3 linked regions of the Struthio camelus genome follow. The protein of the gene in region 3 binds, or shares a complex with, the protein of the main gene of each other region. Links are inferred from orthologs where the notes say so. Each region holds a gene or a part of one and is shown on either strand. Other genes may lie near its edges. The genes, in order: TIMM17A, mitochondrial import inner membrane translocase subunit Tim23 and TIMM50.

Region 1 (4,810 bases), on a different chromosome or scaffold from region 3:
CGGCTTGGTCCAACTATCCCGTCACTTACTAGGCGAAAGGATAAGGGTTATTGAAAGAAATTGCAACCCTAAGAAGGGTCAGATCAGCATGGAGCCAGTCACAGTAGCAGTGGAGGGGTCTGCTCCCAGGCTCTACCAGGCAACAAGCAACTGGGACGAGACTGAGGTTTTCCACTCTTCCTTTCTACTTGTTCCTTCTCTGCTTTCTAGTCTTCTCCTCTCCCCCTCCCTTCTCCAAAGCAGAAGTCACAATACCACCTTCTGGTAATCTCCATTACTGCATCACCATGCTCTTTCACCCGCTGCTCCCATCCTGCCTTAAATAAGGACAAACATGCAATTGCTTCTTTCAGATCACGAAGAAACCTTTACATTTACAAGGACTCTTTAAAAGCCTCCAGACCCAGCAAATTAAAGCAGGAGGAGCATTTCCGTTCCTTTTCATTGCTTCAGCCCATGATTTATTTGGGCAATTAAGTGCCTTGTTGGTGCTCAGACGCTGCAGCACACCACAATCTCCATTGCGTGTTGTGACTGAACAATTTCTTGTCCCGACAAAAGAGCAGCGGGCAAGGTTAAATTAGGACTGTGAAAAGAACGAGTGATTTACAACTTAGAGCGCTTGCAAGCATTTGTGGGGGGAAAGGCTTTGGGGGACTTCACAGGCTGCCAGCACGGAGACTTCTTTTGGCTCCCTGGAGAAACTGCCCTCTCCAAGTCGCTGTCTCTTGATGGAGCTGTTAGGGCCAAATTCCCTGCTTGCCCACACTGCCCAGTCACAGGACCATCCCCAGGGACGCCTTGAGGTCACCCCGGGTGATTCCCCAGCTCCAAGAGCGCTGCAGGAGACACCTGACCATCTCCGAGCGTCTCGGCAGCTCTTGCGCGGAGAGGACGCGTCGCCCTGCGCCGCGGGGCCTGCCCCTGGCCGCACGCGCGCGCCCCCTCCGCGCAGCGGGGCACCGTGGGAGGTGGGCCGGGATGCCAACAGGCAGCCAAAAAGCTCTCTGCGCACGTTCACGCTGTCGTTTCCAGGGTGTCCTCGGCGGTTCCCGGTGGGACGCGCTCCCGGACTGCTCGGCTGCCTGTCCGCGGCCTGGCCTGAACCCACAGAACGCAGCAAAGCGCTTGGTAACGCTTTTAAATGCAGACACATCCCGGCCCGGGCACTGTTATTTATTAGAGGATGTTAAGGGCTAAGTAACAGCAGTTTTGTGATCCCTGCCTCGGGCAGGGTAACTCGACCTGGCCCTCGCCCCGGCAGCGCTTTTACCTGCCTTTTTTTTTTTTTAATGTGCCTGAGTTTTTTATTTTTTTTGCCCGCGCAGGGCACGCCAGCGAGGGCAGCGCCCACAGAAACGCTCTCTCCCCTCCCCGAGGGGCGGACAGCCCCTGCGGCGCCCTCAGCCGGGGGGCAGCGTCGAGACCACGGCGGCGGGGCCGACGGCCTCCCCCGAGTCCGGCGGCGGCGGCGGCCGCACGGGAGCGCCCTGAGGCGCGACGGGCAGTGGCCGGGGGGGGGGGGGAAGACGGAGTGCGCACGCGCAGTCACCGCCCCGCGCTGCGCGTCCTTCCCGCCGAGCTCCCGCCCTCCGCCCCCATTGGCCGGCGTCGGGGGGCGGCCAGCCAATGGCGCGGCGGGAGGGCGGTGGAGCGTGCCAAGATGGAGGAGTACGCGCGCGAGCCGTGGTGAGCGGCGGCCGGAGAGGGGGGTGGGATGAGGAGGGGGGAGAGCGTGCGGCGACCGTTGGTTTTGGCGGGCTCCGGGGGCGCGCGCGGCGCGGGGTGGGGGGAGGGGCGGCCGCTGCCTGCGCCCTCCTGTGCGCGGCGGCGGCGGCGGGTGACCTTGGCGGTGCCGCGGCCATGGCGGCCGCCGCCGCGGGACCCGCCTTCCCCCGCCTCAGGCTCGGCGGGGGCGGGGGCCGCTGCCGGTTCGCGGCCCCGGGCTGGCGGGGGGAAGCTGTCGTAGGGCCCCGCCGGCCGGTGCCCGGGCCTGGCAGGAAGGAGCCGAGCAGGGCCTGCCTGCGGCTGGGCTGCCAGCCCGGCCCTGGGGCCCTGCCGCTGTACCGGCGTGGGGCCGTCGGGCCCGCTGCCTCATTCGTTTCTAAACATACATGTGAATATACATACACACACGCTCCACGTGTAGCAGGGTCCTTTTCACGGAGCCCTTTGAAGGGCCCCCTCAGGGGCAGGGAGGTGCTCTGCGCTGCTGCAACCCTCGCTTTTCTGTTAAGCACGAATATATGGACGTGAACCCGGGCAAAAATTTGTCCGCGTGGCTCCACAGGTGTCTTTGCTAGTGAATTTGGCAGCCTTTAAAACCGATCGCCTTTCAGCAGGCTCTTTGTAAGCATTCGCAGCTGTGTTTATAACCATTTAAAGGTTTTTAGGTGTGGTAATAAAACGTTTAAAGGCAGGCTTGGGTTCAGGAGTAAGTATGTGGAGGTCTGCCCTTCTCCACCAATACTTGTTCGAGACTTTTCTCAAAGCTTTGGAAAATGCTCTATTGCCCTGTTTTGAGTTTCTTCATAAACCTCAACTGTGCTTTTCTCGAGTCTACAGCACCAGGTCTCGGATAGTAGTAAGTTGTTTGTTTTTTTACTATGAGCTACAGATAATCGTGTTTTCCAGTGAGATCACGTGACGGTGACCTTTTGCCGCTGAGCTGTGGAGCGGTTATCTGGGGCCACAGTTTGCGTTTTGACCTGCTTGCTGCTGCTCGCTCCCTGTCCCCCCCCACCCCCAGAGCTGCTGTTTTGGTGACGGCCCCCGCCCTGGGATGTGACCTGCTTGGATGCTGCTGCTGTCGGACTTGGCCGTAGTCGGCGTCTCGGTCACCTTCCTTGGCGTGGGTCTTTGCGCGGTCACGACGGCCTCAGGCCTGCGCGGTGTGAAGTTACGCCGTGCCCCTCAGCGAGGGTCCTGGCGCACGCCGCCTCAGAGGTGCGGAGTCGGAGCTGGCTTTTCTCACTGCTGGCACTGCTCATCGGATGCACTCTTCCCTCTACTGCCGTGGTCTGCTCTTTGCTCTCCTTTCAGGCAGGCATAGATTTTTTTTTTCCGGAAAGTTTTGCTATGCTATCGCTGCCGTTCACTCTGGCTACGTTACCGAGGTGTATGCTATCCTCGGCGTGTCCGTGTCCGTGCTGGCTGATAACGCGTGCTTGAGCTGGTGTGTAGCTGTTCCCGGGCTCAGTGGCAGAAGCGAAGCTCTGGACTTGGCGAGTGCGTTACCCCGAGCCCTCTGGGTCATGAAACCGTTCACGGGCGCTCTCGGTTGCCATCAGGAGCGCTGGGATTACTGCAGGAACCTTGCCTGCAGCTGAGAGCACGTCGTTTTTCTGTTGTGAGTGCTCTCCATAAAATCAGTGAAGCAATAGGAACGTAAAGCTTCTGTATAAGTGCCAAATAAATAGCAGAATCATCTATTTTATTCTATTGTGATAACTTACGTCAGGTATTGCTGGTGATGGTGGAGGTTTTGTATCAGTTTTCAGATACGTATAGCATCTCTCCAGGAGTTCAAAAGGAACTTAGGTATGAAGTAGTTGTGGTGGCATCAAAGAGATTTCCTTATTTGGAGGATAGTTTAAAAGCAAAATTAAGGACCCCACTGAGTTTTACATCTGAAGCAGAGTTAAGATGGAAAAAAAAAAATCTAAGAAAGCGTTTTGTGATTGGGGTCTAATTAATGACGCTTCTGTGAAGAAGTCACATTTTGCTAAATTGAAATTCTTTGACCTTGTGGATAAATGGAAGATGGCTTGGCGTAATCTGTTTATATTTTCAGAAAGCCTTTTAACAAGATCGTCCATAATACAGGAAGGGAGTTGCGATGAGATGTTTTATTCGTAATAGAGTGCATCAAAATCTGGATAGGAAACGTGGAGAAGAACAGACACCCCCCCCCGCCACGAAGAGAACAACACAGCAGCTATTCTTCCTGGCATTGCTGACAAAAACGTGCCTGAAAAGTTCATTAACTTTAATGTGTATAACATAGGAGACTTTTTGGAAAGACAATAAAACATGAAATGGAGCTTTTTTTTTTTTTAATTCAGTCAAAACCAGGGGGAATTTGTAAGGAAATGGAGATGAAAGCATATTACAAGTAGAGCAGTAAAAATACCCTACCTGTAAAAAACGTACCCTACCTGTAAAAAAATGCCATGGTGGGAAAATTTTAAATCTTTTCACTGTTGACTGGTTTCTAAATCAGATATGAGCTTGGGAGGAGGATGTAGCTGTCTTTGTGGAAGATCAGTGATGACATTTGGGTGGGGTGCTGCTGCATTCGGAACAGCAAAGTCAAGTCAGGATGCGGAAAGTAAAGCAATGAAATAATGTCACGTGTCCAAACAAGCGATTTATCTTTATTTAGAAGGTGTGCAGAACTGGTTAGGCCATCCCATTAAAGTGCTTGTAGTGTTAGAGAGATTCAGAAATAGGTCGTGAAAATAAGTAAAGAGCCTGGGAGAATGTTTAGGTGGAGAGACTGACAATTTTGGAAGTTTTGGCAGGAAGAAAAAAAGAACCATGACAAAATCATGCAGTATAACAAGTGGTCCGGGGAAAGGAGATGATGTTGTCCCCCCTTCCAGGGGAAGAGCATTAACATATTCTGTGAAGTAGAAAAGTGGCGGATTCTGAACTGGTGAATGAGGATGTGATCTCACCTGCAGGAGTGTATAATGACAGTGGAGCTGGAGGCTGTAAGAAACAGAAGCGTTAAATTCAAAGTGAGATTGGAAAAAGACATCAGTATTCACGTCTGTGGTTGTTCTGATTGCAAGAGAACAACGTGAAC
Region 2 (4,810 bases), on a different chromosome or scaffold from region 3:
ATCCACTATGTAATAGTACATCACTAGTACAACCACAGTCTCAAGTAACTGCATTCTAAGCTGTTTTCTTAGTCCATACCTGGTACTTATATCAGCCACAGTAGCAATTATTTCAGGTGGTTGGCAATGTAGATAATATATAGGGCTTCTAAATTTCTGAATACCCTATCAATAAACTGAACCTGTAATATGGTTCCCTGTAGCCAGATATTTGGAGTGTGAAACTGAGTGTGATTACTTAGCAATTTATTACTAGTTTCCACTACTCTGCAAAAAGTCAAGTTAAGCAATTGCCACCTGCATGTAATCTCTACCCTTCTGTAGGGACAACCACCTAGGAAGCCTACCCTCCAGCTTTATGGCTAAGCCTGGTATGGTATTTTATAATGGATACCTGGTGAAGATAAAAGCATTGCAGAAAACATATTGGTTTGTGCCTGCATTAAGAGAAGGAAAAAAGAAAGAGGACTTTAAACTTATGAGCACCATTGTAGCACCCATTATAATGGAAAAGCAAAAACCAGGATCAAAAAATGTAAGACTGTAAACAGTAAGGCTGACTTTTCTAGGCAGGAGTGTGCACTCAGCATTCTGGAAGTAAATGGATGTTCTGCTTTTAAAAACAAGGGACTCCCCACCTCCACACATACTTTAAGACACAAAGCAAGTTCAAGGGCTAAAAATTGAGGTTCTCGTATTTTAAAATCTTAGGCAAGTATTTCTCCATTAATTTTTAGAATAACAGAATTGAGGTGGGAAGGGACCTCTGCAGATCATCTGCTCAAAGCAGGGTCACCTGTAGAGATTGCTCAGTGCCACATCCAGTCAGGTTTTGAGTATCTCCAAAGATGGAGAATCTGGGACCCTTGGTCCAGTGTTTGACCACCCTTACAGTAATTTTTTTTTAAGTCTTTAAATGGAATTTCCTTTTATTTCAGTGCGCTTCCTAGTGATAAATGGCAAGAGCAGTCAAGTGTTACAACACGTACTGTTCTGTTAACCTATAGTGTTACAGCAACAGGTATTTTTAGATCTGTTTTGTAAGTTACTCATGACATCAACACTAAACTTCCTTTCTTTTAAAGTAAGTTTTTTTATTTTTAGATCTATTAGTATACATAAACTTTGCTCCAAAAACTCTCATCTCATACTATTTTTGTAATACTGTGTTCCCGGATACACTGTACTAGCTAAATGAGACAATGTCAGGTGGCATTTTGGGAAGAGATCTATCTATATAATCACTAGCCCTTTTTTCCTCGCTATTAAACAACAGCAGGTGAGACAAGTGCACTAGTGAATTCACCTCAGACAGGGACATATCCTTTGTTTACTGCCTTTAGAGGAATTTTATGTTGTAATCTTGACCACAACAGCTTCTAGTGAAGAAGAAATAGAAAAAACAGTTCCCTCAGCTGCATTCAGAGTCTTTTACTTGCAGAAGAAGTGGTGATGCAGTGCATCATGAAACAAAAGGCACAGATTAGCAGAAACTATACAACTGATTACCTTCAGTGCTACTCCAGCAAAATTTAATGTTCACAGATAAAAACAAGCCACATAATTAAATGAATCATTAAGACATGCTTTCTTATTGAATTAACTTAAACCTTTTTGGCTATGCTTAATATAACTGAAAAAAAAAAAAAAGAAAACATAAGGTCTTTAACAATCTCACTTTCCTTATGACCGCCTATTACAGAATAGTTGAAGTTGGCAGTGATCTCTGGAGATCATCTAGTCCAACCCCCCTGTTCAAGCAGGGTCACCTAGAGCACATTGCCCAGGATTGTGTCCAAATAGCTTTTGAGTACCTCCAAGGAAGGAGGCTCCACAACCTCTCTGGGCAACCAGTTCCAGGGCTCTATGGGCCATCACGTTATGTTAACTAAATGCTATGCTGTGAAGTACAATAAGTATGTTATTCTGCAGATCAAAACTGAAAGCTTTACCTCCTAACAGTCTCACTTCAGCTGAGAAATGAGATGGGGGAAATGGACAGAATTCGCTGCTGCTGTAGAGACAGCACATGCCTGTTACACGGTTTGTATCAGCCACTTTGTGAACCATCCAACTCACGACAGTACAGAAAAACATTCCATCAAAAAGGTAGATAGTTTCTGGCTACTTTTATGTGTTGAATGGGCTCAGTGGAGGGTCTGATAAGTGCCAGAAGTGGGGCAGGGGCAGTGATGCAGCCACATGCCCGAGAGCAGGGAGGCAGAAGGAAAAACATAAGTGAGCAACACCTCCTCTTTTCAGGAGCAGCAGACTATTATGCTGACAGAGCAGCCTCATTTACCCTCTATATCGAAACTGATTTTCTTGTCCTAGACACTATGCCACTGCAAGATTTTATTAAGAACAGTAATAACAATCATTCATCCCCTTTCAACTGTTTAAGAGTTAATCACTATATAGCTATATAGCACTGCATGAATTTGGAGGTCTTTGTACATACCATATCAAGAGTGGAATTAAGTTCAATACAATAAAAAACAACTATTCTTCTCACCTGTACTAGATAGCGAGGGTCCAAATTTAAATATGGAGACAAAGGATTCATTCCAGTTACTGAAAGAAAAGAAGGAACACTTTGACACCACTTCCTCTGATAATTTCAAGTCCAGCGACGTAAAAAGGGCAGAGCTAGTGAGCGGAGGCAATGAGGATGTTGCCGTAACGTAAGCAACAAGAGAGAAACAGTACTGAGAAGCACCTATTTATAAGAAGCGCTACGGACCGGTATGCACAGGGTACGCGCCACGTTTCCGTCACGGCGCTAGGCGACACGGAGTCATCGTTAAGGGACTGGCTGTAAAGAAACGCGTGATCGCCGCCCCAACCCACACGCGGGAAGCCGAGGCGAGCGCGGCCCCCCCCCCCCCCGGCCCCGTACGCGAAGCGGGAGACCGGGCCCACTGGCGGCCCGCAGCTCCGCGGCCGCTCCGCTCCCCTCCGGCCCCCGCGCCATGTTGGTTTCCGGGTGCGGCGAGATCTTCCCCCCGCGCCGGTACTCACGCGGCACCCCGGCCAGGTCCGCGTGGGAGTAGCCCCCGCCGGCGCCGAAGAGGCCGCCGAGGCCCGTGCCCTTGGAGTTGCCGCCGCCCTCCATGGCGCCGCCGGGCCCCGCCGCCAACCGCCCGCACCAACGACCTCGGCGCCGCCGTAAAGCGCCGCCCGCGCCGCGCTGCTTTCCGGCGCCCGCGTGCGGCGGCGGTGGCGGCGGCGGGCGGAGCGCGGTTGCCATGGTGAGAGGGGAGAGGCGGGCGGGCGGGCGGCCATTTTGCAGCGGGTGGCGGCAGCGGCGGCTCCTTGCGCCCCTCGCCGGCCTCGGCCCCGCCGCGCCCTGGCCGCCTCCCCGTGAGAGGGCGGGCGGCGGGGCGAGCCCCGCGCTGAGCTAAGCTAAACTAAGCCGCGCCGCGCCGCGCCGCGGGCCGGAGGATGCGGAGGGGCAGAGGCGCCGCTGCCGCATCGTCGCGCCGCCCGCGGGGGGCGGCCGCCGTCCGGCCCCGGCGGCCGTTGGCGGCGCCGCGCGGCTGAGGCGGGCGGGGGCGGGGGCGCAGGCGGGCCCGCGCCCGCCGAGGATGAGCGCGGGCTGCGGGCCGGACCCCCCCCGCAAGAGAGCCCGGCTCGGCCCCGGCCCCGGCGGCCCGCAGCAGCCGCCGTGCCCGCCGCCCGCGCCCCCCCGGCAGGCCGGGCCCGGCGGCGGCGGCGGCAGCGGCAGCCCCGCCACCGCCGTGGGGAACAAAGGTTTGTAGCGGCCCTGAGCAGCCGGGCGGGCTGCGGGAGCTGGGCGGTGAAAACGGATCGACCCGTTTACTTCTTGACTCCCTCGTTTTCACTGATCTGGGGGGGGGGGGCGTGGGGCGCCCGCAGGAGGGGCCGGTCCGCGCGTGGGGCCTGCGCGGCCCTGAGCTTCGTGCGAGCCGCGCCGCCGGCCTCCTCGGCTCCTGCCCCGCACCCCGTCTTTCCTCTGTTTTGGACTTTTAGGCCCGAAAAAGCCGCGGCCGCGCTTGCGGCGGGGTGGCGAGGCTGGGAAGGGCCCCTTTGCCTGCCTGGGATATATATCCGTTTCTTCTGTAGTCGTTATTATCTTTGCAGTACTTTTATTTCCGTGAAGGATTGAAGGGAGGGCGACGTTACGTCGCAAGAGGCTGCTTGCACTGATGTGCGTAGCCTCCCCCGAGCCTGGCTTCGAGGGCAGGGCTGAGATGGGACCCTAATTTAGCTCCCGGAAGCCAGTGCGTGGCTGCGTATCAGAGCCCTACTGTGTCTAGCAGTCCATGCTGCTTCGTTTTGGAGAAAGCTTTGAGTGTAGAGTGCTGTGTGTACCTGCCTGGTTGTCTGCAAACTTCCAGTAACAGCATAATCATCCACGTGGTGCGTGAACTACCACAAGGTAGTATTTTTGGCGGTTAGTGTGTGTGAGGACGAATACTTGCTGTGACAGAAATTACGTTGTTGAGCATAGTGTTATGCCACGCTGTGGCGGTGGGGTGAGCTCGGAGTAGTGACAGAGTCCCACCAGCTCACAGGAAAGCATGTGGCCACCCTGTGCCCATCGCTACAGGCCAAGGGCATTGCTAGTGCTGTAATGTGCTACAAAACTGTGTGGAAGAAGCTTTAGCATGGCTTCGCAATGTTATTTTATTTGGAGCTAGTGCTGTTAAAATTTTTAATGCACAACAAAGTGTATGTTTCAGGAACAGAAAGGAATATGGTGGAGGAAAAAAAAAAGCATTCCTTATATTTTTCCTGTACCTGAGTTGGTGACTTAGGGCTCAGTAGCAAGTAACTGAGAGGCTAC
Region 3 (4,810 bases):
GAGACGCAGTCGGCGGTGGGACACCGAGACAGGGATAATGGCAGCGGGGAGACACCAAGACTCGGTCGGCGGTGGGACACCGAGACAGGGATAATGGCAGCGGGGGACACCGAGACGCGGTCAGCGGTGGCGGTGGGACACCGAGACAGGGATAATGGCAGCGGGGAGACACCGAGACGCGGTTGGCGGTGGGACACCGAGACAGGGATAACGGCAGCGGGGGGACACCGAGACGCAGTCGACGGCGGGACGCCGGCGACCCCGTCCCTACCTGCTCCAGCTGCGACTGACGCCGCTTGAAGGCCGCCAGCGGGTCGTCCTCCAGGGAGTAATTCTCCAGCACGGTGCGGACGTCCTCGACGCCGCTGAGGGCGATGGCTGCGGGGACGCGCGGGCGTCAGGCGGGCGAGAGCGGGTGGCCCCCGGGCTCCGGACGGGGGGGTCCCGCGCGCGGCCCCCCGACCCCGCCGTCTTACTCTTGAGGAAGGCGGCGAGGTCGTAGAGGGTGCGGTCCTCGGAGTTGCCGTCCCAGCGGGCCAGCGCCAGCCCGTTGTAGGGCTGCAGGCAGAAGGCCTCCTTGCGGCAGTCCACCACCACCACCTTGGCGGGGTCTCTGTTGAGGCAGGAGATGTCCTGGCGGCGAGGAAGAAGAGGGGTGGGCGCGGGGCCGGCGCGTCGGCCCGCCGCCGCCGGCCCCGCGCGCCCGCTACCTTCACGTGGTGCCCGTCCATGTAGCGGGTGGCGTCGCGGAAGAGGCGGTAGGAGACGAAGCCGTGCGGGTCGACGCTGTCGATGAGGGGGAAGGCGGTCTGGGGGAGGCGAGGAGGGGGTCAGCGGGGCGGCCGCGTTGTGTGTCCCCCCACCCCGGGGCCGCCGCCACCGCCGTCCCCCTCACCATGCCGGTCTCCGAGGTGAAGACGACGATCTCGTAGAGCGGGGCCAGCTGCTGGAAGAGGCTCTCGATGCCCGGACGCTTCTTGAAGCGCCAACCGGTGACGAGCTGGGGACGAGGAGCGGGGTAAGGGACCGGCCGGGCGTCCCCCGGGCCGGGCCGGGCGCAGGGGGACGGCCACCGGCGGGGACTCACCGACCACTCGGGGTGCAGCAGCACGTCGGTGAGCTCGATGACGAGGGTGTAGGGCGGCTGGTAGTAGGGCTCGCGCAGCGGGTCCGGCAGCAGCTTGGGGCTGGTGGGCTCGATGATCATCTGCGGGACGCGCGGGGTGAGGGGACCGTCCCCGGCCGCGGGGACGGAGCTGCCCCGGTGGGGACAAACCCCTCGTTGCAAGGTCCCTTATGGCGGGGACAAAGACAACCCGTCGCGGGGACAAAGACCCCCGTCGCGGGGACAAAGACCCCCGTCGCGGGGACGAACCCCGCCGGGGCGTGGGTGGGGGGGACACAGACCCCTCGGCACGGGGACGAGCCCCCGCGCCGGGGACGTCCCCGTGCCCTACCTGCCGGTAGTCCTTGAAGTACTTGTAGGTCCTGCGGATCTGCTGGATCAGCACGGGGTCTGCGAAGCGGCCGTGAGGACGGGTCCCCGAGGTGCGGGGAGGGGGGTCGTCCCCGAGACCCCCCCCCCTCTTCCCACCACCATGGTGGCGTTTAACCCCCCCTGCAAGCCTCCTCCTAATGCAAGACCCCCCCCCCACCAGCTTCCCCTCTGCGTTTGCATTGTAAATAAAAAACCAACCCTTTTGGGGCCTAAAACACCTCGTTTTTCTCCGTTTTACCCCCCCAGCGGGGGGGAATCGCACCTTCATGGCGGGGAATTTCCTTCTGCCCCCGCTTCCCTTTCCCCTCCCGCCCAGCGCGTTGCTCCCCTCCGGGAACCTCCAAAGCGGTTACCAAAAAAAGCCGCTTTGGGGGGGGGGGGGGGCAGCGCGAGCGTTAAAACGGGGCCGAAAAGGCTCCGTTTGGCCCCCCCTCCCCCCCGGCGTCGGGAACGCCGCGGGCGGCACCCGGACCCCGAATTTTCTCCCGCTCAAGCCCGGCCGCCCCGCGCTGAGCCCTCCTGGGGTTCACGCGAGCGCGAGGACTCACCGGCGTCGAACTCGTCGGGGATCTGCGGGGAGGTGGGGGGGAAGATAAAAAAAAAAAAAAAAGGGTGGGGGGGAATAAAAGGGTAGCGCCCCCCCCCCCCAACCTCTTCCCACGCCACCCCAGCGGCCTGGCGGCGTTCGGGCGCCCGCGGGGGGCTCCGGCACGGCGGCGATTTGGCGCCTTCGTTTCCGCCGCGGCTCGTTTGATGTCCCGGCGGCGGCGGGGGGCAATTGGCACCTCGGCCGGGGATGGCGCGCCGGGGGGGGGGGGGGGGTCCGCATATCAAAACCCCTCCGACACCTCCGAAACGGGACTTTTTCCGGCCGAAACGCCCCGTCCGGAAGCGCCGGGGTGGGGGGGAAAGGTGACGCTGGAGAAAGCGGTGGTGGTGGGGGGGGGGGGGAGCCGCCGGGTGCTAACGAAGAAGGGGGTAATTACCTTGGCGCCGTGCTCGTCCACCGCGTTGCTGCCTGCGGGGAGGGGAGAGCGGGGCAGTGAGCGGGACGGCGACGGGGACGGGGACGGCGCCCGCCCGGGGACTCACCGAAGACGTAGAGGACGGTGGCGCCGGCGCCGGCGCCCAGCAGCCCGGCCAGGCGCAGCAGCAGCCGCCGCGTGTTGGCCGCCGTCTCCCGCTTCCGCTCCTGCCCCTCGTCGGGGCCCGGGGTGCCCCCCGCCGCCGCCTGCCGGGGAGGGTCGGGGACGTCGCCGGAGCCCCGGGGACAGCCAGGGACCATCAAGGCTGGCCAAGGAGCTCTGGGGACACCCAAGGGGCCCCGGGGACAGCCGGGGAGCTTTGGGGACAGCCGGCGAGCCCTGGGGACGTCACCGGAGCCCCGGGGACAGCCAGGGACCATCAAGGCTGGTCAAGGAGCTCTGGGGACATCCAAGGAGCCCCGGGGACAGCCAGGGAGCTTTGGGGACAGCCGGGGACAGCCGGCGAGCCCTGGGGACGGCCGGGGACAGCCAGCGAGCCCCTGGGGACGTCGCCGGAGCCCCGGGGACAGCCAGGGACCATCAAGGCTGGCCAAGGAGCTCTGGGGACATCCAAGGAACCCCGGGGACAGCCGGGGAGCTTTGGGGACAGCCGGCGAGCCCTGGGGATGGCCAGGGACAGCCAGGGAGCCCCGGGGACGTCACCAGAGCCCCGGGGACAGCCAGGGACCATCAAGGCTGGCCAAGGAGCTCTGGGGACACCCAAGGAGCCCCGGGGACAGCCGGGGAGCTTTGGGGACAGCCGGGGACAGCCGGCGAGCCCTGGGGATGGCCGGGGACAGCCAGGGAGCCCCGGGGACAGCTTTGGGGACAGCCGGGGACAGCCGGCGAGCCCTGGGGACATCTGGGGACGCTCACGGCCATCCGGGAGCGGCCCACGAGCCCCAGCGAGGGCTGGGGACACCCCGGGAGCCGTGGGGACACCTGGGGACGTTGAAGGAGCCCCGGCAACGGCTCCATCTGCCGGCCAAGCCTCTGCTCCCTCCAGACCCTAATTTGTCCCCATATCCCCCAAACTATCCCCCCCCCAAACCCAAATCTGCCACCCCCCCCAGCCACCTGCCCCCCCTTGACCCTACCTGCCCCTCATGTCCCCCAGGCACAAGTTTTTGTCCCCCCCCCCAAACCCTACCTACCCCCTCCCCAGGCTCCTTCTTGATCCTACCTGCCCCCCAGATGCCCCAAGCGCCCCCAAGCCCCCCCTTTAGCTCCTGTCCCCCCCCAGATACCCCTCAGGCCCCCTTGACCCCCCCCAGATGCCTCCAGGGCCCCCTTGACCCTCCTCTGCTCCCCCAAGACAGCCCTCAGGCCCCCTCCTTGACCCTACCACCCCCCCAAATGCCCCTAGGCCTCCCCTCAGACTCCCTTTGACCTCCCCCCCGAGACCCCCCCCCAATAACCCCCAGGCCCCCTAAATACCTCCAGGGCCCCCCTTTACCCCACCTGCCTCCCCTCAGCCCTCTCCTAAATACCCCTCAGGCCCCCCTTGACCCCTCAGATGTCCCCAGGCCCCTCTTTACCCCATCTGCCTCCTACAGACCCCCTAAATACCCCCCAGCCCCCCTCGGACCCCCCAGCCCCCCTAAATGCCCCTAGGCCCCCTCTTGACCCCCTCTGCCCCCCCACGACCCCTCCAGCCCCCTCAAATACCTCCTAGGCCCCCTCTTGACCCCCCCAGACCCCCAAACGCCCCATGGCCTCTCTTTCCCTCCTCTTGACCCCCCAAATACCCCCCAGACCCCCTCCTGACCCCGCCCAACCCCCAAACGCCACATGGCCCCTCTTTCCCCCCTCCTCACCCCCTCAGACCCCCCCCAAACACCCCCCACGACCCCTCCTGACCCCCCCAGACCCCCAAACGCCCCATGGCCCCTCTTTCCCCCCTCCTCACCCCCTCAGACCCCCCCCCAAACACCCCCCACGACACCCCTCTTGACCCCCCCAGACCCCCAAACGCCCCATGGCCCCTCTTTCCCCCCTCCTCACCCCCCCAAACACCCCCACGACCCCTCTTGACCCCCCCAACCCCAAACGCCCCATGGCCCCTCTTTCCCCCCTCCTCACCCCCCCAAACACCCCCACGACCCCTCTTGACCCCCCCAACCCCAAACGCCCCATGGCCCCTCTTTCCCCCCTCCTCACCCCCTCAGACCCCCCCCAAACACCCCCCACGACCCCTCCTGACCCCCCCAGACCCCCAAACGCCCCATGGCCCCTCTTTCCCCCCTCCTCACCCCCTCAGACCCCCCCAACACCCCCCACACCCCCT

Evidence for each region.
Region 1: TIMM50 (region 3) and TIMM17A share a complex: the UniProt entries of both Homo sapiens proteins name them as parts of the TIM23 complex. The link is inferred for Struthio camelus from reciprocal best matches to the Homo sapiens genes TIMM50 and TIMM17A.
Region 2: TIMM50 (region 3) and mitochondrial import inner membrane translocase subunit Tim23 share a complex: the UniProt entries of both Homo sapiens proteins name them as parts of the TIM23 complex. The link is inferred for Struthio camelus from reciprocal best matches to the Homo sapiens genes TIMM50 and TIMM23.

Annotation. Positions count from the first base shown.
Region 1 is NC_090965.1:3,978,975-3,983,784, reverse strand, and holds the start of TIMM17A (mitochondrial import inner membrane translocase subunit Tim17-A), read left to right. Parts: upstream 1-1,565; 5' UTR 1,566-1,663; coding exon 1,664-1,689; intron 1,690-4,690; exon of another isoform or gene 4,691-4,810. UniProt on the Homo sapiens protein: Essential component of the TIM23 complex, a complex that mediates the translocation of transit peptide-containing proteins across the mitochondrial inner membrane.
Region 2 is NC_090948.1:33,171,251-33,176,060, reverse strand, and holds the start of mitochondrial import inner membrane translocase subunit Tim23, read right to left. Parts: upstream 3,225-4,810; 5' UTR 3,116-3,224; coding exon 3,022-3,115; intron 2,575-3,021; coding exon 2,516-2,574; intron 1-2,515. Other genes in the region: PARG (poly(ADP-ribose) glycohydrolase), read left to right, coding at 3,588-3,753. UniProt on the Homo sapiens protein: Essential component of the TIM23 complex, a complex that mediates the translocation of transit peptide-containing proteins across the mitochondrial inner membrane.
Region 3 is NC_090957.1:1,563,594-1,568,403, forward strand, and holds the start of TIMM50 (mitochondrial import inner membrane translocase subunit TIM50), read right to left. Parts: upstream 2,704-4,810; 5' UTR 2,591-2,703; intron 2,517-2,590; 5' UTR 2,485-2,516; intron 2,069-2,484; 5' UTR 2,047-2,068; intron 1,517-2,046; 5' UTR 1,458-1,516; intron 1,208-1,457; coding exon 1,088-1,207; intron 1,001-1,087; coding exon 896-1,000; intron 810-895; coding exon 711-809; intron 634-710; coding exon 477-633; intron 379-476; coding exon 272-378; intron 1-271. UniProt on the Homo sapiens protein: Essential component of the TIM23 complex, a complex that mediates the translocation of transit peptide-containing proteins across the mitochondrial inner membrane. Has some phosphatase activity in vitro; however such activity may not be relevant in vivo.